Linked DNA regions of Saccharomyces cerevisiae S288C. The protein of the gene in region 1 interacts with the protein of each later gene in a biochemical or structural test. Each region holds a gene or a part of one and is shown in the gene's direction. Other genes may lie near its edges. The genes, in order: UBC7, SSM4, ASI1 and UBA1.

The links.
Region 2: the proteins of UBC7 (region 1) and SSM4 form a complex in vitro, tested with the Saccharomyces cerevisiae proteins (4 studies listed by BioGRID, with this or other methods).
Region 3: the proteins of UBC7 (region 1) and ASI1 form a complex in vitro, tested with the Saccharomyces cerevisiae proteins (one study listed by BioGRID).
Region 4: of the proteins of UBC7 (region 1) and UBA1, one has a biochemical effect on the other in vitro, tested with the Saccharomyces cerevisiae proteins (3 studies listed by BioGRID).

What each region holds. Positions count from the first base shown.
Region 1 is NC_001145.3:317,158-319,677, forward strand, and holds UBC7 (E2 ubiquitin-conjugating protein UBC7), read left to right. Parts: upstream 1-1,522; coding exon 1,523-2,020; downstream 2,021-2,520. Other genes in the region: MAC1 (Mac1p), read right to left, coding at 8-1,261; MSS1 (Mss1p), read right to left, coding at 2,280-2,520.
Region 2 is NC_001141.2:295,550-305,309, reverse strand, and holds SSM4 (E3 ubiquitin-protein ligase SSM4), read left to right. Parts: upstream 1-5,300; coding exon 5,301-9,260; downstream 9,261-9,760. Other genes in the region: cohesin subunit IRR1, read left to right, coding at 1-833; EMC5 (Emc5p), read left to right, coding at 1,206-1,631; EMA17 (Ema17p), read left to right, coding at 4,053-4,481; SUMO protease ULP2, read right to left, coding at 9,573-9,760. UniProt on the Saccharomyces cerevisiae protein: E3 ubiquitin-protein ligase which accepts ubiquitin specifically from endoplasmic reticulum-associated UBC6 and UBC7 E2 ligases, and transfers it to substrates promoting their degradation.
Region 3 is NC_001145.3:502,268-510,182, forward strand, and holds ASI1 (putative ubiquitin-protein ligase ASI1), read left to right. Parts: upstream 1-3,065; coding exon 3,066-4,940; downstream 4,941-7,915. Other genes in the region: protein SHH3, read right to left, coding at 1-467; bifunctional phosphoribosylaminoimidazolecarboxamide formyltransferase/IMP cyclohydrolase ADE17, read right to left, coding at 5,235-7,013; 60S ribosomal protein eL15 RPL15B, read right to left, coding at 7,467-7,915. UniProt on the Saccharomyces cerevisiae protein: E3 ubiquitin-protein ligase which transfers ubiquitin to substrates promoting their degradation.
Region 4 is NC_001143.9:36,126-44,963, forward strand, and holds UBA1 (E1 ubiquitin-activating protein UBA1), read left to right. Parts: upstream 1-3,037; coding exon 3,038-6,112; downstream 6,113-8,838. Other genes in the region: phosphatidylinositol-3-phosphatase SAC1, read left to right, coding at 1-289; TRP3 (bifunctional anthranilate synthase/indole-3-glycerol-phosphate synthase), read right to left, coding at 574-2,028; ATP-binding cassette a-factor transporter STE6, read right to left, coding at 6,298-8,838.

The sequences.
Region 1 (2,520 bases):
CGTGATTTTATGAAGTGGTGGCATCGCTTAGATGTGGTGCATAATTAGAGACTAATTTTTGAAACCACGCATGAATGTCAAGTAATTCTAACTGAGCATCTGTCATCAATGGCACTTGCAACTTCAAAAAATCCCACCAATATTTTGACGGCACCAATTTACCTTTGAATTTTATTTGAGTTTTCCTTGTTAATCTTGCATTCAGAATTCCATAGAAAAAGAATTTTTCAAATGGAATTATATTTGTAGAGTGAGAAAAACATCCATCACAAGTGCAGTTATCCGGAGGACATATGCATTCCTTGTCAGTGCATTTACAATCATCCAAATAATCCATCATCTTATCAGTAATTTGAGCTTCACCAATATTGGTTAAAGGAACACCACTTTGTTGAATATAAGAATTCAGTTCCTCTTCGCTTCTATGGATTAGACAATTAACACATGGGCAGCTTTCATCTTCACAAGAGCACTGCGTGCTTAAAAAAATGCCCTTATGAGTCAGGACTTCAACTTTCGAAGCAACGTCGCTTGAATGAGGAGCAGCAATCGTTGTTGTACTTTGTGGGGTGAGTGTTTCTGAACTGTCATGCGCACCAGGAACAGAACTATTGTAGTTTTCTTGTAAAATATCGTTAAAAGCGGACGTAGATTCCAAGGAGCCGTATGGCGTAAATATGTCATCAGACGGTGCCTTGTTCGTCTTGCCATTAGAAGCTGGGTTCTGTGATTTATCTTTCTTACAGCAGTTTGAAAAATGTCGTATAGGCTCCTGTTGAAGCCGGCTTCGCTCTTTCTTCTCACTTGAAGAAGATGACTTGGTAGAGTCCGGAGATATTGTTCCTGTTGCCGGAGCTTTGGGAGAGTGTTTCCTAAGAAACTCCGTTTCGGTGATATATTTGTTACCATCATCGGTAAATGTGCTAATATCTTTAGGCTCATGAGCAGTGAAACCTTCCTCCATTAATATATGCAATTTTCCGTTTATCATTCTTGCCTTTCTAACAGCAGAGGCACGTACAAACAGTATTGGCTGTTGATTCATTGCGCTGCAGCAGTCACCTTCAATTTGTGCACCATTTTCGTATTCTGTACTTTGCGATGTAGAGTCTACTAAAATAGCGTCTCTGATAGCCATGGGTGAAGGTCTTCCTCTAGTTCTCACCTTAATTAGCATTCGGTGAGAATGCCTGCATGTTGAAGAGCGATGCCCTCTGATGCACGATGCACACGCATATTTGTTCCCATTAAATATTATCATCTCTGATAGAGCTTGAAGAACTTACCAGACTGTTTCAAGTTTAAAACAAGGCGCCTCATCGCATCTACCTCACGAAGATGCAGCAGCTTATTGTCTCGAGATCCTTCTTATAACTCCTTTTCGCCATTACCCGAAAACGAGATTACAGCCTCTAAACCAAGAGCTCGAAAAGCGCCAAAGTAAACTCTGGCGTTTAGCGTACGAAGGAGATTATCCTAAAAGGAACTTCCCTAGTAATAGTGTAATTTGGAAGGGCATAGCATGTCGAAAACCGCTCAGAAACGTCTCCTCAAGGAGCTTCAACAGTTAATTAAAGATTCTCCACCTGGTATAGTGGCTGGTCCCAAATCGGAGAATAACATATTCATTTGGGACTGCCTAATTCAAGGGCCTCCAGATACGCCATACGCTGATGGTGTTTTTAATGCTAAGCTAGAGTTTCCTAAAGACTATCCGTTATCTCCACCTAAACTTACTTTCACACCCAGCATACTACATCCAAATATTTATCCAAATGGGGAAGTGTGCATATCCATTCTACACTCCCCTGGTGATGATCCTAACATGTACGAATTAGCGGAAGAAAGATGGTCGCCAGTGCAAAGTGTAGAAAAAATTCTATTAAGTGTTATGAGCATGTTGAGTGAGCCCAATATCGAAAGTGGTGCCAACATTGATGCTTGCATCTTGTGGAGAGATAATAGACCTGAATTTGAGAGACAGGTAAAGTTATCCATTTTGAAATCATTAGGATTCTGAAAGCAGGTAGCAGGTTAATGATCATTTGGTCTTCCTTTTAACTGTTCTCTATATACATAAATAAGCATATCTACCATCTAAAAGAAAGCAAATGTCACATAATAAATATGTTAAAATCTCAATGTCTTCCTGGCTTTTCAGGAATTCAAACCATTTCCATTTCGTTGGTGTATAATCAGGGGCCCCTCTACTCTCACCTCTCTGTACCGAAGCGTTAATCAATTTTCTTTTATTTATATACACGATGATTGTAACTAGGTTATTTTCCTATACAAAATTTGCTGAACACTGAATCTAAGATTTCCTCAATACCAATAGCTTGTCCTGTTATCTTAGCTATTCCATCGGATGCATACCTCAAATTTTCTGTGGCCAATACTATATCATTATGGAAATCTTTGGATTTGAAAAACTCTTCCAAGCCGTACAGTACGTCGTTTTTGAGAATCTCTGACACTCTTTTGGAAACAATGACAGGACTTGCATCGGCACTTGATTGA
Region 2 (9,760 bases), on another chromosome or scaffold:
TAATAGAGAAAGTAAGGGATTACGAGAATTCTATTTCAAAAGATCTTAGATCAGTTTGGAAACCAATTGCCGCTATAATAGGTCGTCTAAACACACTCGTTATTTCATTGGCGGCTACAAACGAAACATTTGAAAACATAAACAGCTTGTTTTACTTAAAATGGTCAGCTTGCACTTCATTAATGGATATAATCGTTGCAATAAAAATATTTGAGCTCAAATTGCCTGCAGACGCTACAACATGGAGATATAGTATGAGTGAACAATTTCCATTTTACCTTCACGATAATGCTTCCAAAGTGCTTTTGAAAATATTTTTATATTTGGAGAGTCTTTTCGCTAAGCAAGTTGACGTCCAATTAGAAAGGGTAGCAGATGAAGACGCCAACCTAAATGATTTGCCGGAAACCGGGTTTTTCGAGAATATTGAAACTGAATTCCTTTTATTCACAGTTAAATTGAAGGGACTAATGAAACTGAATATTTTAGATGAACGATTTGCTTCCCGTGTGGCACTAAACAAAGAAAAGCTTGGCCCGCTGTTCAAAAAAATCGTAGATGATACCATAATGGAAAATCCAGAACCTAATAAAAAGAACATACAGAAAGCAAAATCAAATCAAACACAGAGGGAAAAAGCGCCTTTACAACCCAACAGTGAACGAGAAACCGACCATGCAAATACTGAAAATAATGATCCAGATATTCCCATGACAATCGATCTAGAACCTATTGAAGAAAGTTCGCAAAATAATTCAGAGTTAGCACCAATTGAGGAACACCCAACCGTGGTAGATGCTATAGACAACAGCGACGAAATCACACAAGATTAAGGGAAAAGATATACGTCAGACTTATTGCTCTTTTGTAAAACAATAAGATCTATAATATATATCACATCTTTCTTTTGAACATACATAGCTTCGTTAGCAGTTTTTGATTAATCATAAATACTTCAAATATCCCTTCGCATTAGACTATACTCGCTGGATGATATTCGGCTATGTATTTTCCAAGCCCATTCAATCGTCATCAAAGCGCCCTTTGCTTCTTCGAAAACTCGCGATGTAAACGCAGCGCAGAAAAATCTACTTTTGAATATAAAATAAAGTCAACTCAGATAGTTGTTATGCATGTTAATTGTAGCATCTAAAAAGCGATCGTAATTAAGCCCTACCGAGATACAAAAAAGCAATTATCAAGAGATGTCGTTTGTTTCCAAGCTTCTCTATACAGTCTCTGCATTGGTGTTATTTCATTCTGGTTTCTCAAGCTATGAGTTTCATCACTTATTAAAACTTAACTCGCTTAATAATGCACAAGGTGCAATCAGCAAGTTACCTAAAGATATCATGTATGAAACGTATGCAGGATTGATACTCTTTGTTCTTGCAGTGTTCACTTCGTTCGAGAAATTACAATATTTACCAATTGAGAGTAACGATGGGAAGATAATATCCCAAGGAAACTATCTAAAAGAAATCGCATTAAATAAAGCCACCAACGTGGATAACTTGATAGGAAGTAACCCTAATGGTGAGATCATATTTACTCCAAGCTTTGTTGACGTTCATATGAAGAGAAAAATTTGCAGGGAATGGGCCTCTAACACTGTAAAAAAAGAAAAATAAATAAGATACTGAAAACTAGAGCTAGAACTTATAATTTCATACATATATACATATCAAGATCTAATAAGAGGATTAGCTAGATTTTGAGCATAAATTCGATAGCGAATCTACTCGAACATCGTAACTGCACAAAATAAGGCGTCAGGTGACCAGGCACCTCTTCTATTTACACCAACACAGACGCCTTTCATAGAGGAATAGAAAGCTATATTAGAATCACCAATAATGCAAGCGTCTCCTGTGTTCTATAACGTGAACCATAAGCTTGAGTGGTTTCAAAAGGATTACGGGGCGGATAGTATCTTTTGCGTCTTCGTTGGATAGTTTGTTATTAAGATACATAAATACACACTAAATTTAGTGGTAAAATCTTCTATTCAATATTATCGAGAGTCTCGGTTTGAGGGCTAACACTCTAATGGATAACCGTTCGGAATATTTCTATTCCAGTTTACATAGTATAAGTACGATATTCATCCTCATGTTAGCGTAAGTGGAACTTGTTCAAATCATCCTGAGGTACAGACAAGCCCTTATTGATGATTCATTCTGTTATTTCAGGAACAGGTAATAGTTCTCCACCACTTGAACGCCCATGCTAGTTGTAAGGTGCCGTATAAAGGCAGTTATGATATCATGTATGCGTTTATTATAAGTATTATCGCCTGCAGAAATAACAAAAGTGACACATATTGGTACAGGTACTAAACCGATGCTAACCGTACTAAAACAATTTACCACCCGGCTCGAGTTTTTTATTCTTCACAAACTTTTTCTGCATTTAATTGTGATGAATAACGAATAACTATTTCCTTGATCACCTCAGTAATCGCGAAACGTGCATTTGTGGTAGCAACAGTTTTAATGACAGTAGCATAGCCTATTGCACCTCCACATGAAGAAGCTACCAGTCCACCGCCAGAAATAGACAAAATGGTAACATCGCTTACATTAATTAGCCCTAATACAAAAGGTTGCCATTTGCTAATTTGTTTTGGTCGTCGAAAACCATTTGTGTCGTCGTTAACCTTTCCATTTATTATTCCAGCAATAAGAGCAAACCCCAATGAGACAGTACAAGCTGTAAGGGGAACATGCCCTATTACCAGCCCAAATGACCAATTGACTAACCAATCACCACACACACCCGCAGCTGTGTTGCGTGCGACGTTACCCAATGTTATGGTAATGGCTTGCTATATACTGACTCGTTCAGGTGAATAGAGAAAACCCGTATCACCGTAAACCCATCAGTGACCGTTTTAATTACCACAGCTGTTGCTAGCGAGTAAAAACCCTTTTCACCACTGGTATATAATATGTTCATCGTAAACAACCAATTGGCAACTATCCGGGAGGTCACGGCTGCGCTGCATACTTTTAAAACAGCTTGACGTGGATTAGACCAATTCACCATACGTTTGGAAAACATACTGGCCATTATCCAAGGTGTAAGTATAACGTCAAAGCTGCAATCAACTGTAGAATCTCTTCCTAACACATTTCTATATAACGCAACCAACATTATCATTGGAAATGGCATACAAACAACGCGTCTGAATAACCTTGCATCGTCCATGTTATTGCCTTTTCTACACCACGCAGCACCTCTTTAATGCAGCAGCCGTCACTATTTGCATTGACGCATGTCTTCATCCTTGAATGCCTGGCGATAGTATAGGTAAATTAGTTAAATACAGCTTTGAGTAATTAGGCATGTACTTCCTCTGATTTAGTGACAGGTTCAATTGTTAAAGTATTCCCATTAGGCCAAGTTAAAAAGCGAAATTTATTTTGTTTTACAGATTTCCATTGAGTTTTTATGCCTAAGGGCGTGTTTTTTCAGCTCGTAAAATCATGAAGTTGTAGCACGCTGGCTCACCATGACAATTCCAATGGTGCGGTTCAATCAATTCACTGAGGTAGAATGGTGGACCATGATATTCAGAAATAGGTAAGTCCTGAGGTAATGATTAGGATTTAACTGTTGACTCTATTATAAGGTATACAGAATATACTGGCATAAAACAAGGATCATTAACACGCTAAACAGGGTGTTGTTTAATATCATGAATGCGCAAATAAGCCCTTTTTGCTGCAGCAAACTTTATGTACCAAGATCTTAAAGGGACTCGTTACCAAGATGCGAGTGAGTAGTCTATTATTAGAGAGTAGATCAGCTTCCGCCGCTTCCTTTTTTAACGGGAAAAAAAGTAGAAGCTGGGACAACTTTTTCGCTGCCAATAATAATTAAAAAGAAGGACCCTTTTTTCATTATAGGTATATTTGTTAAATATTTCCATTCCTAAGACAATCAACAACGCAGTTATGCAAACCATCAAAGAGGGCAAATGAACTATTCCCGCTCTTCGTAAGGATGCTGTATTACCGCCGTTAGCCATCAGAATTACTATAAAAACAATGCGGTTAATTTTCATTGCGAAAATGCTTCAATATTCATTTCTACCATTTTCCCCGTTCAATCTTTTGAATTTTGATAATAGTATAAGCGTAAGCTGGTTTATAACATACTCAGTGATCGTTTCCATTTGGGGGTTTGCTGTGTGGATTGAAGGAGCATATAGGAATAAGATTAATCTACAGCTTCCAAGATGTACGAAGATAAAATGCTCCCGCTACAATACGAGAATAAAATCCCCCAAGTGGTTCAACTGTAAAAATTGGATGCATTTTTTCCTATTATACCTTTTTCTAACCGCTTCTAACTTAATTGTTCAATTGGCCTATTTTTCAAAAGAAATGTGTAGTCAGGGTATAAACGTTCCTGGAACGAAGAAACCAGGTAATAGAGTTTATTTATCGGTTATCATACTAATGGGGAACGGGTGATAGAACTTTTACCAATGAAAAGAAATCAGCAGGCCATAATTTGGCTTTATTAAAATTAATAACATTATGGTGCTGTTGCGTTTATTAAAACAGACTAAAGCTGTTGGAATGAAATTCTAATGTTATCTATTTAGTAGTAATAGCATCACATGCGGTGTAAGAGGATGGCGTAAATTATGAGAAGCTGTCATCGAGGTTAGAGGAAGCTGAAATACAAAAATTGATAATGTAATAGGAGAATGAAACATATAAAACGGAATGAGGAATAATCGTAATATTAGTATATAGAAATATAGATTCCATTATGAGGATTCCTAGATCCTCGAGGAGAACTTCTAGTATATTCCGTATACATAATATTATAAGCCTTTATCAACAATGGAACCCCCAACAATTATCTCAAAATTCACCCATATCTTAATTAGTAACATGAATAGTACTAAACAGATGATATTTTAAAGTTTCATTCCAACAAGCATCTTAAATGTGCTATTACTTCCTAAAATAAGTAGTTTTTCCAACGAAATAGCCTTGTTGGCGCAATCGGTAGCGCGTATGACTCTTAATCATAAGGTTAGGGGTTCGAGCCCCCTACAGGGCTATCTTTTTACCATTTTCAATTCAATAGAAAAATTAAATCATTAGAGACGGAAAACTGGTTGAAAACGCATCGATTGAGGACATTGAAAAGATGATTATGACCGATCTATGAAGCCATAAGATTACGTTAAGAATAGTTCTTTGTTACTGATTTCAAAAACTGTTTTTTTAGCCAAGAGTACCACTAATTGAATCAAAGAGACTAGAAGTGTGAAAGTCATGGATGTTGATTCTGACGTTAATGTCTCCAGGTTAAGAGATGAACTGCATAAGGTGGCAAACGAGGAAACAGATACCGCCACTTTCAATGATGATGCGCCATCCGGCGCCACCTGCCGTATTTGTCGTGGAGAAGCTACTGAGGACAATCCTCTTTTCCATCCTTGTAAATGCAGGGGCTCAATTAAATACATGCATGAATCCTGTCTGTTGGAATGGGTAGCTTCAAAAAATATAGACATTTCAAAACCAGGCGCGGATGTTAAATGTGACATCTGTCACTATCCCATTCAATTCAAAACGATATATGCGGAAAACATGCCCGAAAAGATACCTTTTTCTTTACTACTATCCAAGAGCATCTTGACATTTTTCGAAAAAGCTCGTTTGGCTTTAACGATTGGTTTGGCCGCTGTACTATATATTATCGGTGTTCCTTTGGTATGGAACATGTTTGGAAAATTATACACCATGATGCTAGATGGATCATCCCCTTATCCTGGTGATTTCCTAAAGAGTTTGATTTATGGTTATGATCAGTCAGCAACTCCAGAATTAACCACGAGAGCAATTTTTTACCAACTTTTACAAAACCATTCGTTTACGTCTTTACAATTTATTATGATAGTGATACTACATATAGCATTGTACTTTCAATACGATATGATAGTAAGAGAGGATGTTTTCAGTAAAATGGTTTTCCACAAGATAGGTCCAAGATTATCTCCCAAGGACTTGAAATCACGTTTGAAGGAAAGATTCCCCATGATGGATGATAGAATGGTTGAATATTTAGCGAGGGAAATGAGAGCTCATGACGAAAATCGTCAAGAGCAAGGTCATGATAGACTGAACATGCCAGCCGCAGCAGCAGATAATAATAATAATGTTATTAATCCCAGAAACGATAACGTTCCACCTCAGGATCCTAATGACCATCGGAATTTTGAAAACCTTCGCCACGTAGACGAATTAGATCATGATGAGGCTACGGAAGAGCACGAGAACAACGACTCTGACAATAGTTTACCATCAGGTGATGATTCGTCACGAATTTTACCGGGGTCTTCAAGTGACAACGAAGAAGATGAAGAAGCAGAGGGGCAACAGCAACAGCAGCAACCAGAAGAAGAGGCAGATTACCGTGATCATATAGAGCCCAATCCGATTGACATGTGGGCAAATCGTCGTGCGCAAAATGAATTTGATGACCTAATCGCTGCTCAACAGAACGCAATAAACAGGCCCAACGCTCCGGTTTTCATCCCACCACCTGCCCAAAACAGAGCTGGAAATGTCGATCAAGACGAACAAGACTTTGGCGCAGCTGTTGGTGTGCCACCAGCACAGGCTAACCCAGACGATCAAGGACAAGGCCCTCTAGTGATAAATCTCAAATTGAAATTGTTGAATGTCATTGCTTATTTCATAATTGCCGTAGTTTTCACCGCAATATACCTGGCAATTTCCTATTTGTTTCCAACTTTTATTGGGTTCGGTTTGTTGAAAATTTATTTTGGTATATTTAAGGTTATTTTGCGTGGGTTGTGCCATCTTTACTACTTGTCTGGCGCTCATATAGCTTACAATGGGCTGACGAAACTGGTCCCTAAAGTAGATGTCGCGATGAGTTGGATTTCAGACCACTTAATTCATGACATCATTTATCTTTACAACGGCTACACTGAAAACACCATGAAGCACTCAATTTTCATCAGAGCTTTACCTGCTTTAACGACGTATCTAACCTCAGTCAGTATCGTTTGTGCTTCATCCAATCTTGTCTCGAGGGGTTATGGCCGTGAGAACGGAATGAGCAACCCTACTAGAAGGCTGATTTTCCAGATTTTATTTGCACTCAAATGCACTTTCAAGGTGTTCACTTTATTTTTCATCGAATTGGCTGGATTCCCCATTCTAGCTGGTGTAATGCTAGATTTCTCATTATTTTGCCCAATCCTGGCATCCAATAGTCGGATGCTTTGGGTTCCTTCAATATGCGCAATATGGCCTCCATTTTCCCTTTTCGTATACTGGACGATTGGTACTCTCTACATGTATTGGTTTGCCAAATATATCGGAATGATTAGGAAAAATATCATTAGACCAGGTGTTCTATTCTTTATCAGATCTCCAGAAGATCCTAATATTAAGATCTTGCATGATAGTTTAATTCATCCGATGAGTATTCAATTATCAAGGCTTTGCTTATCCATGTTTATTTATGCGATTTTTATTGTCTTAGGTTTTGGCTTCCATACTAGAATTTTTTTCCCATTCATGCTCAAATCGAACTTATTATCCGTTCCTGAAGCTTATAAACCAACATCAATTATTTCATGGAAGTTCAATACAATTTTGCTAACTTTATATTTTACGAAGAGGATCCTGGAGTCTAGCTCTTACGTTAAACCCTTATTGGAAAGGTATTGGAAAACAATTTTTAAGTTATGTTCAAGAAAATTACGTTTATCATCCTTTATCTTAGGTAAAGATACCCCAACAGAGAGAGGCCATATTGTTTACCGCAATTTGTTTTACAAGTACATTGCTGCCAAGAATGCAGAATGGTCAAACCAAGAACTTTTCACTAAACCAAAGACTCTAGAACAAGCAGAAGAATTGTTTGGGCAAGTTCGTGACGTTCATGCTTATTTTGTCCCCGATGGCGTTTTAATGCGTGTTCCTTCTTCTGATATAGTATCCAGAAATTATGTACAAACAATGTTTGTCCCCGTTACAAAGGATGATAAGCTGTTGAAACCATTAGATTTGGAAAGAATTAAAGAGAGAAACAAACGTGCTGCTGGTGAATTTGGTTATTTAGACGAACAAAACACGGAATATGATCAATATTATATCGTTTACGTCCCTCCAGATTTCCGTTTACGCTATATGACATTGCTTGGCCTGGTTTGGTTATTTGCTTCCATTTTAATGCTTGGTGTTACATTTATTAGTCAAGCTTTAATAAACTTTGTTTGTAGTTTCGGCTTTCTTCCAGTCGTAAAGCTATTGTTAGGTGAAAGAAATAAGGTCTATGTTGCATGGAAGGAACTCTCTGACATTAGCTACTCCTATTTGAACATTTATTATGTCTGTGTCGGATCTGTTTGTTTATCCAAGATTGCTAAGGATATTCTTCATTTTACAGAAGGCCAAAACACTCTCGATGAACATGCCGTTGACGAAAACGAAGTAGAGGAAGTGGAACACGATATACCAGAGAGAGATATCAACAATGCCCCTGTTAATAATATCAATAATGTGGAAGAGGGTCAAGGAATTTTCATGGCCATCTTTAACAGTATATTTGATAGTATGTTGGTGAAGTATAACCTGATGGTGTTTATAGCTATCATGATTGCGGTTATTAGAACTATGGTTTCGTGGGTCGTCTTAACCGATGGTATACTAGCCTGTTACAATTATCTCACCATCAGAGTGTTTGGCAATTCTTCATACACTATTGGTAATTCCAAATGGTTTAAATATGACGAGAGTTTGTTATTCGTCGTTTGGATCATTTCGTCAATGGTCAATTTCGGAACCGGATATAAGTCATTGAAACTATTTTTCAGAAACAGAAATACTAGTAAATTGAACTTCTTGAAAACAATGGCTTTGGAACTGTTTAAACAAGGTTTCCTGCACATGGTAATTTACGTCTTGCCGATTATTATTTTATCCTTAGTATTTTTACGTGATGTTTCTACAAAGCAGATTATCGATATTAGCCATGGATCCAGGAGTTTCACTTTATCGCTTAACGAATCATTCCCAACATGGACAAGGATGCAAGATATTTATTTCGGACTACTGATAGCATTAGAGTCATTTACGTTCTTTTTCCAAGCAACTGTGCTGTTCATTCAATGGTTCAAAAGTACTGTACAGAATGTAAAAGACGAGGTTTACACTAAGGGTAGAGCTTTAGAAAATTTACCAGATGAAAGTTAAAGGCGTTTTCTTCCTTACATTTAAAATGAATGCTAGCATATTTACATATATATATCTACATTAAGTTATATGTTTTTCCACTGTTTTATTTCTTATTGTTAGAATTATAGAAAAAAAATTTTTGTAAAACATTTCATTAGAAAAATTTACCATTCTGAATACGAAAGAACAAAATAAAAAATATGCCTATTTATGTGAGTATGTATATTACTAGTTATTTTATTGCTGTTACTATTATTATGCGAGAATGTTAAAAAAATAAAAATAAAGAGGAAAAGAATAAAAAATATAAAACTATGCGTGCGAGTGCTTTCAAGGGTCTTCATCTTCCAAGAGTATAGGATTATCTCTGCCCTCATCCCAAACAGAATCTTGAGACTGGTTATTTTCATCTCCATAATTAGAGAGAAGTTGTGCATTTGATCCCTTGCTTGTCGCGCTGGTTCTTGGAATACCCCTAGTTGGACTACTAAATGCCACATCATCAATATCAACCAACT
Region 3 (7,915 bases), 190 kb from region 1:
CCAAAATGGAATGCAAACAGATATGCTGCAGAGCCTTTGGCCACCCATTGGGACCACTTAGGCATCTTTTCGTGATACCACTTGTTTAGATCCTGAAAAGTCGTATCCATTCCCATTATTGTCGTCACACCCAAAGTAATTGTGAAAGCATAGAATCCAAGAGCCAGTAAAACGCCAGATATACGATGTAAAGAGGAAAGATACCAGCTCATTTCAGGTTCGTAAACAGTTAAATGAGGAGAGATCGGTCTTTTTTTCCTTTGAGATACTAAGAGCTCCTCTTCCTTGTTGCTTGACCAAAGATCAGATTTGGATACGCGGCCATTGTGGAATTCTTTGGAAAAAAGGTCCATTCTGCCATTAGAGATATAATTATGCAAAATAAATGGTGTGCTGATTCTTGGCACGAATACAGATGCTCGGGGAACTCCAAATACAGATGTTACTCTTTGAATGGTTGCTTTCATTATTCTTACGCTTCTGAATATTTCTGAGCTCCACTTATCAGCTATCACAGTCGCATTGAGTGTGATTAATTTTTCGGTATATTGATACTATTTCATTTTTATTTGCCATTATCTAAAATCTTCGTCAATTTTTTTATGAGCAACGTATCCCTAATCCCTTTTTTACAAAAGTCCAAAATAGAAAAAAAACTATTACGGATGCAGTGATCTCTAATTAGGGATACTTTTCCTTGTAATTTGGTTTATCGTACGGTAAGAATGACCGAATGAGTGATGGTTTTGATCCGAACCGTAAAGAAATACTGGTAGAAGTGTTTACTCTGGTTCCTTTCAACGACATGGTATACAACTATATTGCATGAGAACTGGATGCGATGCAAGTACTTCTGGTACAAACATGTAAATACTATTGATTATATTACAGTAATTTTGTCAAAACACAGTGGCACAAAGTCATTTGATAATGTGATAGGATAACGAAACATATAAAGCGGAAGGACAAAAAAAAAGTAGTGATATTATGTAGAAATACCGATTCCATTATGAGGACTCTTATATCTTCGAGAGGAACTTCTATTATATTCTGTATACACAACATTATAGCCTTTGATCAACAATGGAGTTCACAATTATCAAAATATTCGCACAATATTCACGTAGAATAGTGGATGACAGAGTATATAAACAAAGAAAGAAGCACTCAGGATTTTCTATAAATAGTGAAGTTTTCTATGGACGCCAAAAAATCTTAAGGGTATCTTGAGTGTAATCATCATTGGAAGGATTATTATCTTTCACGAGTAAAATACTATTAATAACTAGTAATTTCCGTGAAGTCATTAAAATGAACAAAACGATAAAACGGTTTCTTATTGCTAATGTGCTGATTTTTTGCCAAAAGGTAAAATCTAAAAATATCAATTGCATACCTTCACATTTGGTATATTACCATATAATAGCAAGATGACATAAATCGGTGAGGAGCAGTTACCAAATTCCATGGAAGATGAAAAACAGGGTTGATAATATAATAAACTGTTGGAACGAGAGTAATTAATAGTGACATGAGTTGCTATGGTAACAATCTAATGCTTACATCGTATATTAATGTACAACTCGTATACGTTTAAGTGTGATTGCGCCTATTGCAGAAGGAATGTTAAACGAGAAGCTCAGACAATACTGAAGCTGTGTTAAAGACCTATTAGTTGAACATGTTATGGTAGGTACATATATGAGGAATATGAGTCGTCACATCAATGTATAGTAACTACCGGAATCACTATTATATTGGTCATAATTAATATGACCAATCGGCGTGTGTTTTATATACCTCTCTTATTTAGTATAAGAAGATCAGTACTCACTTCTTCATTAATACTAATTTTTAACCTCTAATTATCAACATAAACAATGGAAGAAAAATAATAATATTACCAAGCAAAATTATTGTCCTTGTGGATTTCGATATTTTCAACAGGTACCTTAGTAGAGCTGAAGTTTTTTCAAATTAAACATTTATGTGGTAGTCATATATATGTGTCATGCGAGTCTTTACATTAAATATATGGTAACCACCAGAGAACTTGTTATATTAGTCACGATTAATAATGTTGGAATAAAAATCCACTACCGTCTATCAACTAGTAGTTATATTATCAATATATTATCATAGACGGTGTTAGATGATGATATAAATTATGAGAAGCTGTCATCAAAGTTAGAAGAAGCTGAAATGCAAAGATTGATAATATGATAGGATAATGAAACATATAAAATAGAAAGAGGGATAATCGTAATATTAGTATGTAAAAATATACATTCCATTTTGAGGATTCCTATGTCCTCGTGGAGAACTTTTAGTATATTCTGTTTACCTAATATTATAATCTTTTATCAACAATGGAATCCCAACAATTATCTCAAAATTCACCTATATCTCAAATAATAAACCGATCGGACTGCGTTCAGTGAACCTCTCTTATATAGTATAGGAAGATCCAAATTTATTATTCGCTGATATGACCTTTTGACCTTTACATATTAACGAGGTGCTTTTACCAATGCATAGACGAGCAGCTTATCCCATAATGAGTTTAAATTCTATTCAACTCATAACAACTTATAGTTGCTATAGTCACACCTTTTCAACAGATAAGTGGTTGTTTGGCCGAGCGGTCTAAGGCGCCTGATTCAAGAAATATCTTGACCGCAGTTAACTGTGGGAATACTCAGGTATCGTAAGATGCAAGAGTTCGAATCTCTTAGCAACCATTATTTTTTTCTCGCGTATTCCTTTGAGGGCGCCCCTTTATGTTGAAATATTGAGAAGCTACGAATCAAACTTTGAAGTCAGTTGAGTAAGCAATATGAAAAACATTGGAAAATACAATAAAACACAATTACGAAAACTATATTGTTTTGAACAGAAAAATAGAAGGAAGTACTAAAATTACTCTTTCACCACACAACAATTTTAACTCAAGAAGATAATCACTGCTTACTTTTATATTTTATAGACAATTTGCACTTTGGGGTATTTTTCTTAATTTTATCTGGGTTTTTTTCTTCTTTTTACAAAGAAACTATGCTAAGAATATGAACTCTTCCACTTCTTCAGAAAATGTGTTCATAAATTCATTTAGCTATTTGAATCAAACATCACAAGCCGTAATCTCAGGTAACTCCACTTTCGCAAATGTTATCAACTTTCCTTATAGACTTGGATTATCCTTTATTGGGGCTGTGAACTTGCAGTACGAGCAAACCGTTAAATCTGAAGAAATTCCCCCAACTCTAAGGTCTGTTTTTGATACAATAGGGTTTTTTTTCAGCCCGTACGCCATATTTTGCTTTGTAATCGCCATTGTCCTGAACCGGTTCGTTGTATTTTACGCCGTCCTTAACAACGGTTCCAGACGTACTTTACCGTTATGGTTGAGTAATGTTTTCCATGTATCAGCAGTAGTTGTATTAGCAATGGTATCCTTAGGTCCGCTGACCTTGGGTAAGGATTTCAAAATATTAGGCGACCCTGCTTTTGCCCAAGAAAAATTTTTACTGAATATATTCTACGCTTTCGCTTACTCTTATTGTGTCGAAACCATATTTACCATCATGCGGAATTCCAGCCCTTTGGAGGGCACTGACTATTCATTGTTTGAACTTTCGATTCAGTTTTATACAATGACTAATAATAATACTAAATTTTTAGATTCTCCTGATTACATTATAGACTGTTCTATGGCTATTTTGAGCAGGATATTGATCCATTTGGTGGAGATTTTCAGGCTTAGAAATTATCGTCTACTTTTTAGTACTATTATGAACCTCTGTCATATTTGTTACTTAGGGATAAGAGTTAAGCAGGGCGGCTGGAAAAGCCTTCCATTTTCGGTGAAATTTAGGCACTTTCCAAAACTGTTTTCAGTGTCTATTATTTGCTTATCATTACTGATTTTTAAATTATCATGCTTAATTAGATGGGATCCATTTGGAAAATCACGTAATTCTTGCGAACTTTTACAGTTTTACCCTCTCAGTAGAAATTGGAAAAAATACTTAAATTACACGGGAGAAGAAGATTTTTCTGCTATGGCCACTAAATTCGCACTATTATTATGCTCAGGAACTGAACTAATGGAAAAGGGTATACGAAGAGAATTTCCTGCTATTAACATCCCGGATAATGTTAATGAGAAATTTTTTATTAGCGGTTATTTAAATGAACTTTCTAAACCGTATAAAGAGAACACTTCCATCAGCTTCCCAAAGAAAAATTCATCAATATTAAAGCAAAGATTTTTTTTAATGTTTCCAAAATCTATAATATGGATCATGAAGAAGCTTGTAGGCCAAGTATTCTTTGGCTTCAGAGATAACAAGGACGAGGACATCCCCGACAACGACCCATCAAAAATGTTAAAGATAACTAAAACGAACTCTCTCAATAATAGTGCCGGCCACAAAGAAGATATTGAACTTGAACTATTGAACACATCAGATGATGAGTATTCTGAAGATTACGAGCCTTCTGAAGTTGAGTCACTGGGGGATTCTGATGAAGAAAACTTGGAAGAAGATTCACTGATTTTCAACGAAACTCGGGATGCCCTACTGGATTTATTTTCTTCCGAAGATAATGAAGTTCATACTGATTATAATTGGATCATGTCAACTAGCCGTATCCTTCAACAAAAATTACTGTCAGATAAAACTTTGACAAGGGCGTCTATCTTAGATACAAAGTTAAGTGAAGTAGATGAGACTTTTGGTACAGAAAGTGATTTTGATCTATCTTGCGCGGTATGCAAAGTCAATGAAAGAAATACAGTATTATGGCCCTGCCGATGTTTTGCCATTTGCGAGGATTGCAGAATTTCTTTGGGTTTACGTGGGTTCAGCACTTGCGTATGTTGTAGGAGTAAAGTTCATGGGTACTGTAAGGTTCATCCTGTTTCAGATAGTAAATAATAGTTTAAGAACTTTTGCATGGTATCTAAAAGAGGTTTTTCGTTTGGGAGCTCTAGCATTAATTACTATAGCTAGAGCTTTCTGTGTTGCACATATAAACATCATAATAATAAATCAAGTTTTTTTTCTTTGGGAAATGTTCGAATTAAAATTGTACTTATAACATATCGTATCATTAGTATATATATAAAAGTGTCAGTGGCGATTATATCATTAGAGGAGGAAAGAATAAACTATACATCGATTTGCCGTCATTTCTGTATTTATGGCATATTGACTCTGAACTCATGCCATCTAATGGTGGAACAAACGGATTGGGTTCTCTACGTAAACCAAATCGAATGAATCGGCAGCTGAAAATACAACCTTGTCCATGACAGAACCAGATGGAGCGGCAATGTATTTGACACCGGATTTAACTGCTCTGTAAACATTGTCTGGGAATGGGAAAAATGCATCCGATGACAAAGAAACGTTGGTTAATTTACTCAACCATTCCTTTCTTTCTTCTGGAGTAAATGGTTTTGGAATCTCCTCGAACTTCGATTGGTATTCAGACAATTCTGGTTCTTCTGTTGGAATTTGGCCGGTTACGAATAAATCGATAGCATTAGATTTTTCTGGTCTCTTGACGCCTTTAGCCCATTTAATCTCCAAAACTCTAGGGTGTTGTCTGAACCACCAATTATCAGCCTTATCACCAGCTAATCTTGTACAATGGATTCTAGATTGTTGACCTGCACCCAATCCGACAACCATACCATTTCTAGCATAACATACGGAATTAGATTGAGTATATTTAATAGCAATGGTGGCAACCGTTAAATCAATTATGGCTTGTTCAGTGAGATTTTTATTTTGAGAAACAATTTCTTTGAAAGTTGATTGATTGATTATGGCATCGTTTCTCTTTTGTTCCAAAGTCACACCGTATACTTGTCTTCTTTCGACAGCTTCTGGAACATAGTTTGGATCAATTTGTAATATGCAGTACTTACCTCCCTTCTTCTTGGATAGAATGGCCAACGCCTCAGGCTCATAACCTGGGGCAATAACACCATCAGAAACTTCTCTAGATATGATCTTAGCTGTTGGAACATCAACTATGTTGGAAAGAGCAATCCAATCACCAAAGGAAGACATTCTATCAGCACCACGGGCCCTAGCATAGGCACATGCCAGGGGAGATAAGTTTTCAATGTCGGCAACAAAATAAACTTGCTTTTCAACATCAGACAATGGGATACCCACAGCGGCACCAGCTGGTGATACATGCTTGAACGATGCTGCTGCTGGTAAATTCAACGAGGCGGATAATTCCTTAACCAGGGGCCAGGAATTTAGAGCATCCAACAAATTAATGTAACCTGGTGAACCACATAGGACTTTGAAAGGTAAACTGTCTTGTTGACTGACGTAAGCTTGAGCCGGCTTTTGGTGTGGATTGGCACCATAACGTAGAGTAATTTGAGCTTGACCTTCAGAGTATTGTTTCCTGAAGAAATCTGAAATTGCAGCATCATAATCGGCAGTGTGTTCGAAAGCCTTTAATGCCAATCTGTTTCTCAAATCTTGAGAGATTTCACCATTACTGGATAATTCACTTAAAAATTCGGAGTAGTCCTTTGGATCAGATAAAATAGTGACTCTAGCATGGTTCTTAGCAGCTGCTCTTAATAGAGTAACACCACCAATATCAATTTCTTCTACTGCTTCTGGAATAGTCACACCCACCTTAGCAACAGTTTCTTTGAATGGGTATAGGTTACAAACGACATAATCGACTTTTTCAATGTGCTGTTCCTTCAAGTCTTTCTCATCGCTATCGATGTCCCTAGCAAGGATACCACCATGAACGGCAGGATGTAAAGTTTTCACTCTACCTCCCAACATTTCTGGGGCATGTGTGATAGCAGAAACGTCTTCGATTGGAAAACCAGCGTCACGAATCATACGAGCAGTACCACCGGAGGCGAGAATACGAACGTTCTTCTCGATGAGGCCTCTGGCTAAATCAAGTAGACCTGTCTTGTCATAGACGGATAGGATTGCGGTTTTTGTGTAATTGGCCATATTTGATGGTGATATGTGCTTTGATGTCCAAGCTAGCAAAACTACTTCAAGGGCTATTAGTTGCTGGTAAGAAAGATTTTAGGTACTACACTAAAGGTTAAAACGAGCGTACATTTATATACATAGATCCGAACGTGATATGCACATCCGAATATTAACAAGTTATGAGAGGAGTCAATTCATTTCTGGGCACATCAGGGTACACACATTGTAGGGTAGGATCTTCTTTATAAATGATAAGTTGACTTCTGCAATGACTTAGTTGGCATGATTAATATTGTTCGTTCCGCTAAGGAAAAAAGAGTCAAAAACTGCAAATTCAAATTGCGTATGCTGCCAAAGAGCGAAGAATAATAAAAAAAAAATAAGTCGAAGAAAAGGAACGATGAAGTAATCAGGTTGAAAAAATGTTCATAGTGCATTATTATTGATCTATATACGGTTCTAACTATTTCATTTTCTATACCTCCATAACGACAGAGTATTTTGTCTTTTCCAGGTCTTTCTTCTGCCGGCCTTGGTGTTGTTGAATTTGTGTCCCTTGTTGATACCCCTGGATTTCTTACCGGTGGCAGTCAAGCCTCTAGCTTCACGATGCTTATGGACGGGATTGCAGATCCAGTTGTACCGAGCATCTCTTCTGATAGCCTTGTGTTGAGGATCAACCAATATAACTTCGAAGTACTTGTAAGTAGAGTCTTGGTTGACCCAGTAGGAGTTCAAGACTCTCAAGTTAGCAGCACGACGGCCAACTCTTTCTTCAGCGGTAGCTCTCAAGGATCTTTGGTATTTCAATTCATTGACACCTTGGTTAGTTGGCTTACCGTAAGTAGCACCCTTTGGAACAGGTCTCTTTCTGTTACCGCGTCTAACCCTGACACGGTAGATAACGAAACCTTGCT
Region 4 (8,838 bases), on another chromosome or scaffold:
AATGATCATTTGCGCAGCCTTGACCGTTTTAGGTGCTACGATATTTTTTCCTAAAGATAGATTTACCAGCAGTAAGAATTTGCTGTATTTTGCAGGTGCGTCGATTGTCTTGGCGCTTTCAACCAAATTCATGTTTAAGAACGGTATTCAGTTTGTCAACTGGCCTAAGTTAGTAGACGTTGGGTTCTTGGTCGTTCATCAAACGCATGATAAAGAACAACAATTCAAAGGTTTGAAATATGCACAGAGTCCTAAATTTTCCAAGCCGGATCCTTTAAAAAGAGATTAATGAGTTCTATATGTGATAAAATGATGATTATTGTAAATCCAAAACGTAAAACCGAAAATATGATAAAAACGAGAAAAAAAGTAAGTTAAAAAATAAAAAAATAAAAAAATGAACGCCGGCCCCAGAGGGAAGAACAAGCTATTTATTTTCTTTTTTACTTTATCTTTCATGGTCATATATATATATATATATATATATATATATCTTCTATAGGCTACTATACATGAAGGCGTTCGCCCTTACAACGTTAAGTTTTTTTCCCTATTGTACCGTGTAAGTTTCAATTATTCGCATAATTCATGAATGAACTTCTTCACATCGGTTGATTTCATTAGGGCTTCACCCACTAAAAATCCATGGACACCTTCTTTTTTGTATTTTTCAGCATCGTCCCTGGTGGTAATTCCCGATAGAGCAATTAGAAGAACATCCTTTGGAATAGATTCTACCAAGTTACTGGTGGTATTTAGGTCTACGTTGAATGAATGCAGGTCCCTATTATTGACACCTACAACTTTAGCACCAATTTCTAGAGCCCTTTGTAATTCCTCTTTGGAGTTCACCTCAACGAGAGGTTCCATGTTCAAATCTTTACTGTAGCTGTACAGTTCCTTCAATAAGGGTTGAGATAGCATCTTGACTATAAGAAGGACAGTGTCAGCTCCAGCTAATCTTGCTTCTAGTATTTGATACTTGCTGAAAATAAATTCTTTTCTCAAAACACAAGGCCTCTCCTTGGGAGGAAATTTCAAATCTAGGATTTTCCTCACATTTACTAAATCCTGTAACGAACCGTGAAACCAATGAGGTTCGGTCAATACGGAAATTGCGGATGCACCAGCCTCTGCGTATTTGAGAGCCTGTTCAGCAGCAACAGCTTTTAAACAAATGGGTCCCTTCGATGGAGAGGCACGCTTGACTTCAGCAAGAACAACGGCTCTTTTATGGGATGATGACAACACCGTGTAGAAATCCTGTAACGGTGGGGCAAGACCTAAATCATAGTTAGATTGTAAGTCTTGAAAGGTGAAACCTGGGATTTTAGACTGCTCATTGACGTCTATTTTACGCCGAGCATAGATACGGTCCAAAATAGAATTTGAAGGAGATGATTTGTTTTCCTCCCAAGTGCCTCCACTGACGTTTAAAATGTTCCTGATCATCAGATGACCTTCCTCGGTCAAGATGGATTCCGGATGAAATTGCACACCTTCTACAGTGTACTTCTTGTGTCTTACACCCATGATAATTCCATTTTCGGTACTCGCAGTAACCTTCAAGCAGGATGGTAGGGACGATTCTGTCCCGGCCAATGAATGGTATCTTGTCACAGCAATACCTTGCGGCACGTTCTTGAAAATTCCACAGTTGTCGTGAGAGATTGGGGACGTTTTACCGTGGACAATCTCACCAGCGTAGGCAACTTCACCACCAAATACGTCAAACATGCATTGCTGGCCCATACAGATTCCAAATACAGGAATTTTCCCAGTAAAGTACCGGATACAGTCTCTTGAAATGCCAGAATCTGTCTTTGGGTGGCCTGGTCCAGGCGAGATAAGCAATGTGTCGGGATTCAAGGCGGCAATTTCTGGAACTGTAATTGCATCGTTACGGTAGACGCTCACTTTGGCGCCCTCCTGGCACAAGTACTCGTAAACGTTCCAGGTAAAGGAATCGTAGTTGTCAATTAGAACCACATGCTTATTGATTGGGTTTGTTGCAGCGTGCACAGACATTTTTTTCTTACTTTTATGGCGTTCTATGTAGAACCAAACAGATTTGGTAATGTGTTAATACTGACCAGCTCCTTGTCGAACTTTTTGCGTACCTTAATATCTGCTATAGATTAGAATGAGTCAACGAGCCATTGATGATCATTCAATGATTACTACAAGAGGCATTTTCCGTCGTCAGTGATATGAATAGCACGGTGAGGTCCAGAAGAGATAGTAGGAAGTTTAATACTGGCTCAAAGGCATACTTATATCGACAAGCTAAGCGCAAATACTACTTTGTGGTACATCATCAGCATTGCTTTCGAGAAAACAGCATTTAAAATCAGCCATTTGCTGCGCTTTCTTTAAGCCCTAACAGAAAATAGTTCAAAAAGGCCTATAAGAAGCAAAAAAAGTGAAAAATACGAAAAAATACTCCAGCGGAGGAGTATAAAAGGGAGGAAAATACAAAATGTAGTTGTGTTGTTACGCATCTCAAAGAAGAAAGAAGAAGAAGAAGAAGAGGACGTCGCACTTGCAAGCAAAAACAGCGACTGGCGCGAGAACAACAAACACTAATGCATGTCTCTGTCCAGCAGGAAAAGCGAGCCTTAGTGTTTCTTATTTTCTCGTTCGCCTCACTAGTTTGTAGTAGGGTGGGAGAAACGATGGAGTGGATTGTATGATGAGGAACCAGATAGGGACAACAGATTCTCAAGTGACGAGGAACATCTTTTAAAGCCCAGTTTTTAGTAGAGCTTAGGGCGCCTTTACTGACTATCCACTCCTTGTTAAGCTATGATCTTGTATTCATGTGATTGTAAATAATATTAGAGCTCTTTCTTGAATTGCCATTACGCTTCCATGCGGCATATTCTCGTGTAGTGTGACAAAAGGTGCGGGTGGCAAATAAAGGTAAAAGAAAATGATCAAAAAGGGCCTTTAAGTAGGATGAGCAACCGCCAATCGCTGGATATAAGCAAACAAAAAGTAAGATTAGTAGCAAAGCAAAGAACATATAACTATAGCTATGAGCAGCAATAATAGTGGTCTCTCTGCCGCCGGAGAAATCGATGAAAGTCTTTATTCTCGTCAACTTTATGTGTTGGGTAAGGAAGCAATGTTGAAAATGCAAACCTCCAACGTATTAATTCTCGGCTTGAAGGGGCTAGGTGTTGAGATAGCGAAGAACGTTGTGTTGGCAGGTGTCAAATCTATGACCGTTTTTGACCCTGAGCCGGTTCAATTGGCAGACTTATCAACCCAATTCTTTTTGACCGAAAAGGATATTGGTCAAAAGAGAGGAGATGTGACCAGAGCCAAATTGGCAGAGTTGAACGCATATGTCCCGGTTAATGTGCTGGATTCCTTAGACGATGTTACCCAATTGAGTCAATTCCAGGTCGTTGTCGCTACGGACACTGTTTCTTTGGAAGATAAGGTGAAAATCAACGAATTTTGCCATTCCTCCGGTATTAGATTCATTTCCTCGGAGACAAGAGGGCTGTTTGGTAACACCTTCGTAGACCTAGGTGACGAGTTCACAGTGTTGGACCCAACGGGTGAAGAACCTCGCACTGGTATGGTTTCAGACATCGAGCCCGATGGAACAGTGACCATGCTAGATGATAACAGACACGGGTTGGAAGACGGAAATTTTGTCAGGTTCTCCGAAGTAGAAGGTCTTGATAAGTTGAATGATGGGACCCTTTTTAAAGTTGAGGTTTTGGGGCCCTTTGCATTCAGAATTGGTTCAGTCAAAGAATATGGCGAGTATAAGAAGGGCGGTATCTTCACCGAAGTCAAAGTACCCCGTAAAATCTCATTCAAGTCTTTGAAACAACAACTGTCCAATCCTGAGTTTGTTTTTTCGGATTTTGCTAAATTTGACAGAGCTGCTCAATTGCATTTGGGATTTCAGGCTTTACATCAGTTTGCCGTTAGACATAATGGTGAACTGCCAAGAACAATGAATGACGAAGACGCCAATGAATTAATCAAGTTGGTCACCGATTTGTCCGTTCAGCAACCGGAGGTTCTGGGTGAAGGTGTAGATGTTAATGAAGATTTAATCAAAGAGCTTTCCTATCAGGCAAGAGGTGACATACCGGGTGTCGTAGCATTTTTCGGTGGCCTTGTGGCACAAGAAGTGTTAAAAGCATGTTCTGGTAAATTTACTCCGCTAAAGCAATTTATGTACTTTGATTCCTTGGAATCATTGCCAGATCCTAAAAACTTCCCAAGAAATGAGAAGACTACTCAGCCAGTAAACTCTCGTTACGATAATCAAATCGCGGTTTTCGGTTTGGATTTTCAGAAAAAGATTGCCAATTCAAAGGTCTTTCTTGTCGGATCTGGTGCCATTGGTTGTGAGATGTTGAAAAATTGGGCACTTTTGGGGCTTGGTTCTGGCTCCGACGGTTACATCGTTGTTACGGATAACGATTCGATCGAAAAGTCCAACTTAAACCGTCAGTTCTTGTTTAGACCAAAGGATGTCGGAAAGAACAAATCTGAAGTAGCGGCAGAGGCCGTTTGTGCTATGAACCCCGATTTGAAGGGCAAGATAAATGCTAAAATTGATAAAGTGGGGCCAGAAACTGAGGAAATATTTAATGACTCCTTTTGGGAAAGCCTGGATTTTGTCACCAACGCTCTAGACAATGTCGACGCAAGAACATACGTAGATCGCCGTTGTGTGTTTTATAGAAAACCACTGTTAGAATCTGGTACCCTAGGTACTAAAGGTAATACTCAAGTCATCATTCCAAGATTGACTGAATCATACTCTTCTTCTAGAGACCCACCAGAAAAGTCTATCCCATTGTGTACCCTACGTTCTTTCCCAAACAAGATTGATCACACCATTGCCTGGGCCAAATCTCTTTTCCAAGGTTACTTCACTGATTCCGCCGAAAACGTTAATATGTACTTGACACAACCGAATTTCGTTGAGCAAACACTAAAGCAAAGCGGGGATGTCAAGGGAGTTCTAGAATCCATCTCAGATTCTCTATCTAGTAAACCACACAATTTTGAAGATTGTATCAAATGGGCAAGGTTAGAATTTGAAAAAAAATTCAACCATGATATCAAGCAGTTACTGTTCAACTTCCCCAAGGATGCCAAGACTTCCAACGGTGAACCATTTTGGTCCGGTGCTAAGCGTGCTCCAACACCATTAGAGTTTGATATTTACAATAACGATCACTTCCATTTTGTCGTAGCAGGTGCTAGTTTACGCGCTTATAATTATGGTATTAAAAGTGATGACTCTAATTCTAAACCCAACGTGGACGAGTATAAGTCCGTCATCGATCATATGATAATTCCAGAATTTACTCCAAATGCCAATTTGAAAATTCAAGTTAATGACGATGATCCGGATCCAAATGCCAACGCGGCTAATGGCTCAGATGAAATTGATCAGCTGGTATCATCCCTACCAGATCCTTCTACTTTGGCTGGCTTTAAACTGGAGCCTGTAGATTTCGAGAAAGACGATGACACTAATCATCATATTGAATTTATAACGGCTTGTTCTAACTGTAGAGCTCAAAACTACTTCATCGAAACTGCTGATCGCCAAAAGACCAAATTCATAGCTGGCCGTATTATTCCTGCCATCGCAACAACCACTTCTTTGGTTACTGGTTTGGTCAATTTGGAATTATATAAACTGATTGACAACAAGACAGATATTGAGCAATATAAGAATGGCTTTGTTAATTTAGCTTTGCCATTTTTCGGTTTTTCGGAACCAATTGCTTCACCAAAGGGAGAATATAACAACAAGAAATATGATAAAATTTGGGATAGATTTGATATCAAGGGAGATATTAAATTAAGTGATTTAATTGAACATTTTGAAAAAGATGAAGGGTTAGAAATAACAATGCTTTCTTATGGCGTTTCTCTTCTTTATGCCTCATTTTTCCCTCCAAAGAAATTGAAAGAAAGACTAAATCTACCAATAACTCAATTGGTTAAATTAGTGACTAAGAAAGATATTCCGGCACATGTATCTACAATGATTCTCGAAATTTGCGCAGATGACAAGGAAGGAGAGGATGTTGAAGTTCCTTTCATTACCATTCATCTATGAGTAACTAATTAACCAAAATAAAAAAATAAATTAAATATATACATTAAATATGTATATATATATGTATGACTTTTGACAACTTTTTCTTTGGTAAAAACTTATTATTATTATTATTATTATTATTATTAATGTAGTCTCGAATATTTGAGTATGTTTTAGTTTTTTGTTTTATATTTTCTTTGGGTTTAACTGCTTTGGTTGGAAACAATTTGGAATAATTCCCCGCGATTATTATATAAAGTGTCGAAGTTACCTCGCTCAACCACTTTACCATCTTTAAGAACTGCAATCGAGTTACAAGACCTCATCATTTGTTCACTATGCGTTATAACCATTGTTAGTAGAGCAGGTGGACCTTTTTTGACGATCTCATTGATGATAGAGGAGCTGACAGAATCCAAGGCTGAAGTACACTCATCTAAAATCAGAATTTTTGATTTTCTCAGAAGTGCTCTGGCTATGCAAAGCCTTTGCGCTTGTCCACCTGACAGTAAAGTTGTATCAATACGTGTATCCAAGCCCTGAGGTGATGAAATTACAAAGTCATGGATTCCTACGTATTTTAATGCATCATACATTTCAATTTCAAGTATTTCATCTTGTAAACCATAAGTTAGGTTATCTCTGATGGTTCCATTGAATAATAAAGGTTTTTGCTCAACCACTGAAATTTCTTTTCTTAAACTTGTCAAATTCCAGTCATTTACGTCCGTACCGTCTATTTTAATTTTGCCTACTTCACAATTATAAAGTTTTGTTAATAAAAGCACAAGTGTAGACTTTCCTGTGCCTGATTCACCAATGATACCTAACGTCTGTCCGCAAAACATGTCAAAATTCATGTTTTTGTAAACAAAGGCGGTAGGTGCAGATGGATAGGCAAATGTCAAATTTTGAATTGAAACGATTGGTTTTTTTTCTTTGCCATGGTAGGTGTGACCAGCTATTCCCACTGTTCTAGCATTATTGTTTTCAACCTCTAGGGTATTATGCTTTTCATCAAGAATCCTATAGATCCAACTGGCAGCACGTTGGCCTCTACTTATATCGGGTATCTGACTTACTAGGCTAGTGCATGACATAATAGTGAATAATAACAAAGTGAAAGTCGTAAACATTTCCTTTGAGGTGTACTCGTGAATCATAACCAGCTTTAGGCCATAGTAGTAAATAATAGCTTGGATACACATGACAATCATGTTTGTCATAGATATACCAAATCCTGTGGCAATGGCGCGTTTGGAGGCAATTTGTTGCATTTTTATCTTCAAGTCATGGTAGGTCAATTGAAAATGAAATTCAGCTTGTAAGCACTTAATGGTTTTAATGTTAGTGACAATCTGGTACAGGCAGTTTTCTAACTGAGCAACAGATGTCTTATAATCTGTTTCGCATTTTTGTAAAATGCCTCCATATATTGCTGAAAATATAATTATGAGTGGAAACATCGAAATACAAACCAAACTTAACTTCCAGCCCGATACTAACGCCCAAATTAGTCCAATCGTTGATACGGTAACGAAACTAGTCATTGCACTCAAAAATTCAGAGACCAAAGACCTCAAATCTCGCAAATCATTCAAGACTAGAGCAGAAATTTCAGAAGCCTTGTTGTTTTCACCAGAAAACCAGTCCATATTCTTTCTCGTCAGTTTTTCCATAACTTCATTTCTAAGATCCATAACCCAGTATTCACTGCAGCAATCTAATAGGAATCCTTTAGCAAAATTGAAAATACCATCTGCCGCAGCCACACCAAGAACAAGAAGCGACCATTTCGCCAAATAATGTGAAGAGCCAGTTTTTCCATCCGTGGATGGGACAATTCCTTCTAGTAAGAAACTGAATGTGTATGAAAAGACGGGATTTGTGGCGCCTGCGATAAGAGAACATAGCAGTCCCAAGATTAGAATTTTTTTGTATCTTATGCTTTTAATCATTCTTTTGATAATCTGAATAATGCTCAGAAGTTGTGGCCCTGTTGAACTTTCGGTGTTCTTTTGTTGTTTTAGTGCATACCCAATATTTTCCTCTTCAACTTTAACCCTTCTTGTTCTAACGTTCGATCTTTTTTGATAGATTGCTTCGTAAAAGGACAACTGATCTGTCTCATCATATCCCAGATTACTTAAGCATGATCCAAGTTTTGGTGTTTCCAATTGAGAGTTAAAACTTTCCACAGTGTGTATAGATTTTTCTTCAGTCTCTGTATCTACAATAGTTTTCGCATCAGAGTAGTCATTCTGTAGGTGATACCATGTGCTAAATGTAGTGGTCGGATCGGCTAGAAGTTCAGACTGGGTGCCGCTTTCAACAACTTCACCTTCCTTCATTAAATATAAATAGTCATCAGATTCAATTTGGCTCAACTCATGCGTCAATATGATTGTAGTCTTTCCTTTCCTCCAATGCCTAATTGCCTTCATCAACAGGTTGCGATGAACAATATCTAGAGCCGATACAGCTTCGTCTAAGAATAATATTGGAGTATCTCTGATGAATGCACGTGCTATAGCAACTCTTTGTTGTTGCCCGCCACTTAGTGTGACACCCCCAGTCCCAATTAATGTTTCCAGTCCATCGGGAAGGTCTAGAATAAATCTATCCAGAAGAGCCATTTGACAGGCATCTTTGATTAAATGTCTATTTTCATTGGTGCTGCAATCGGCATTTCTTACCGAATCTGTTGAACCTAAAAGAATATTTTTTCTAAGAGTATCATTAAA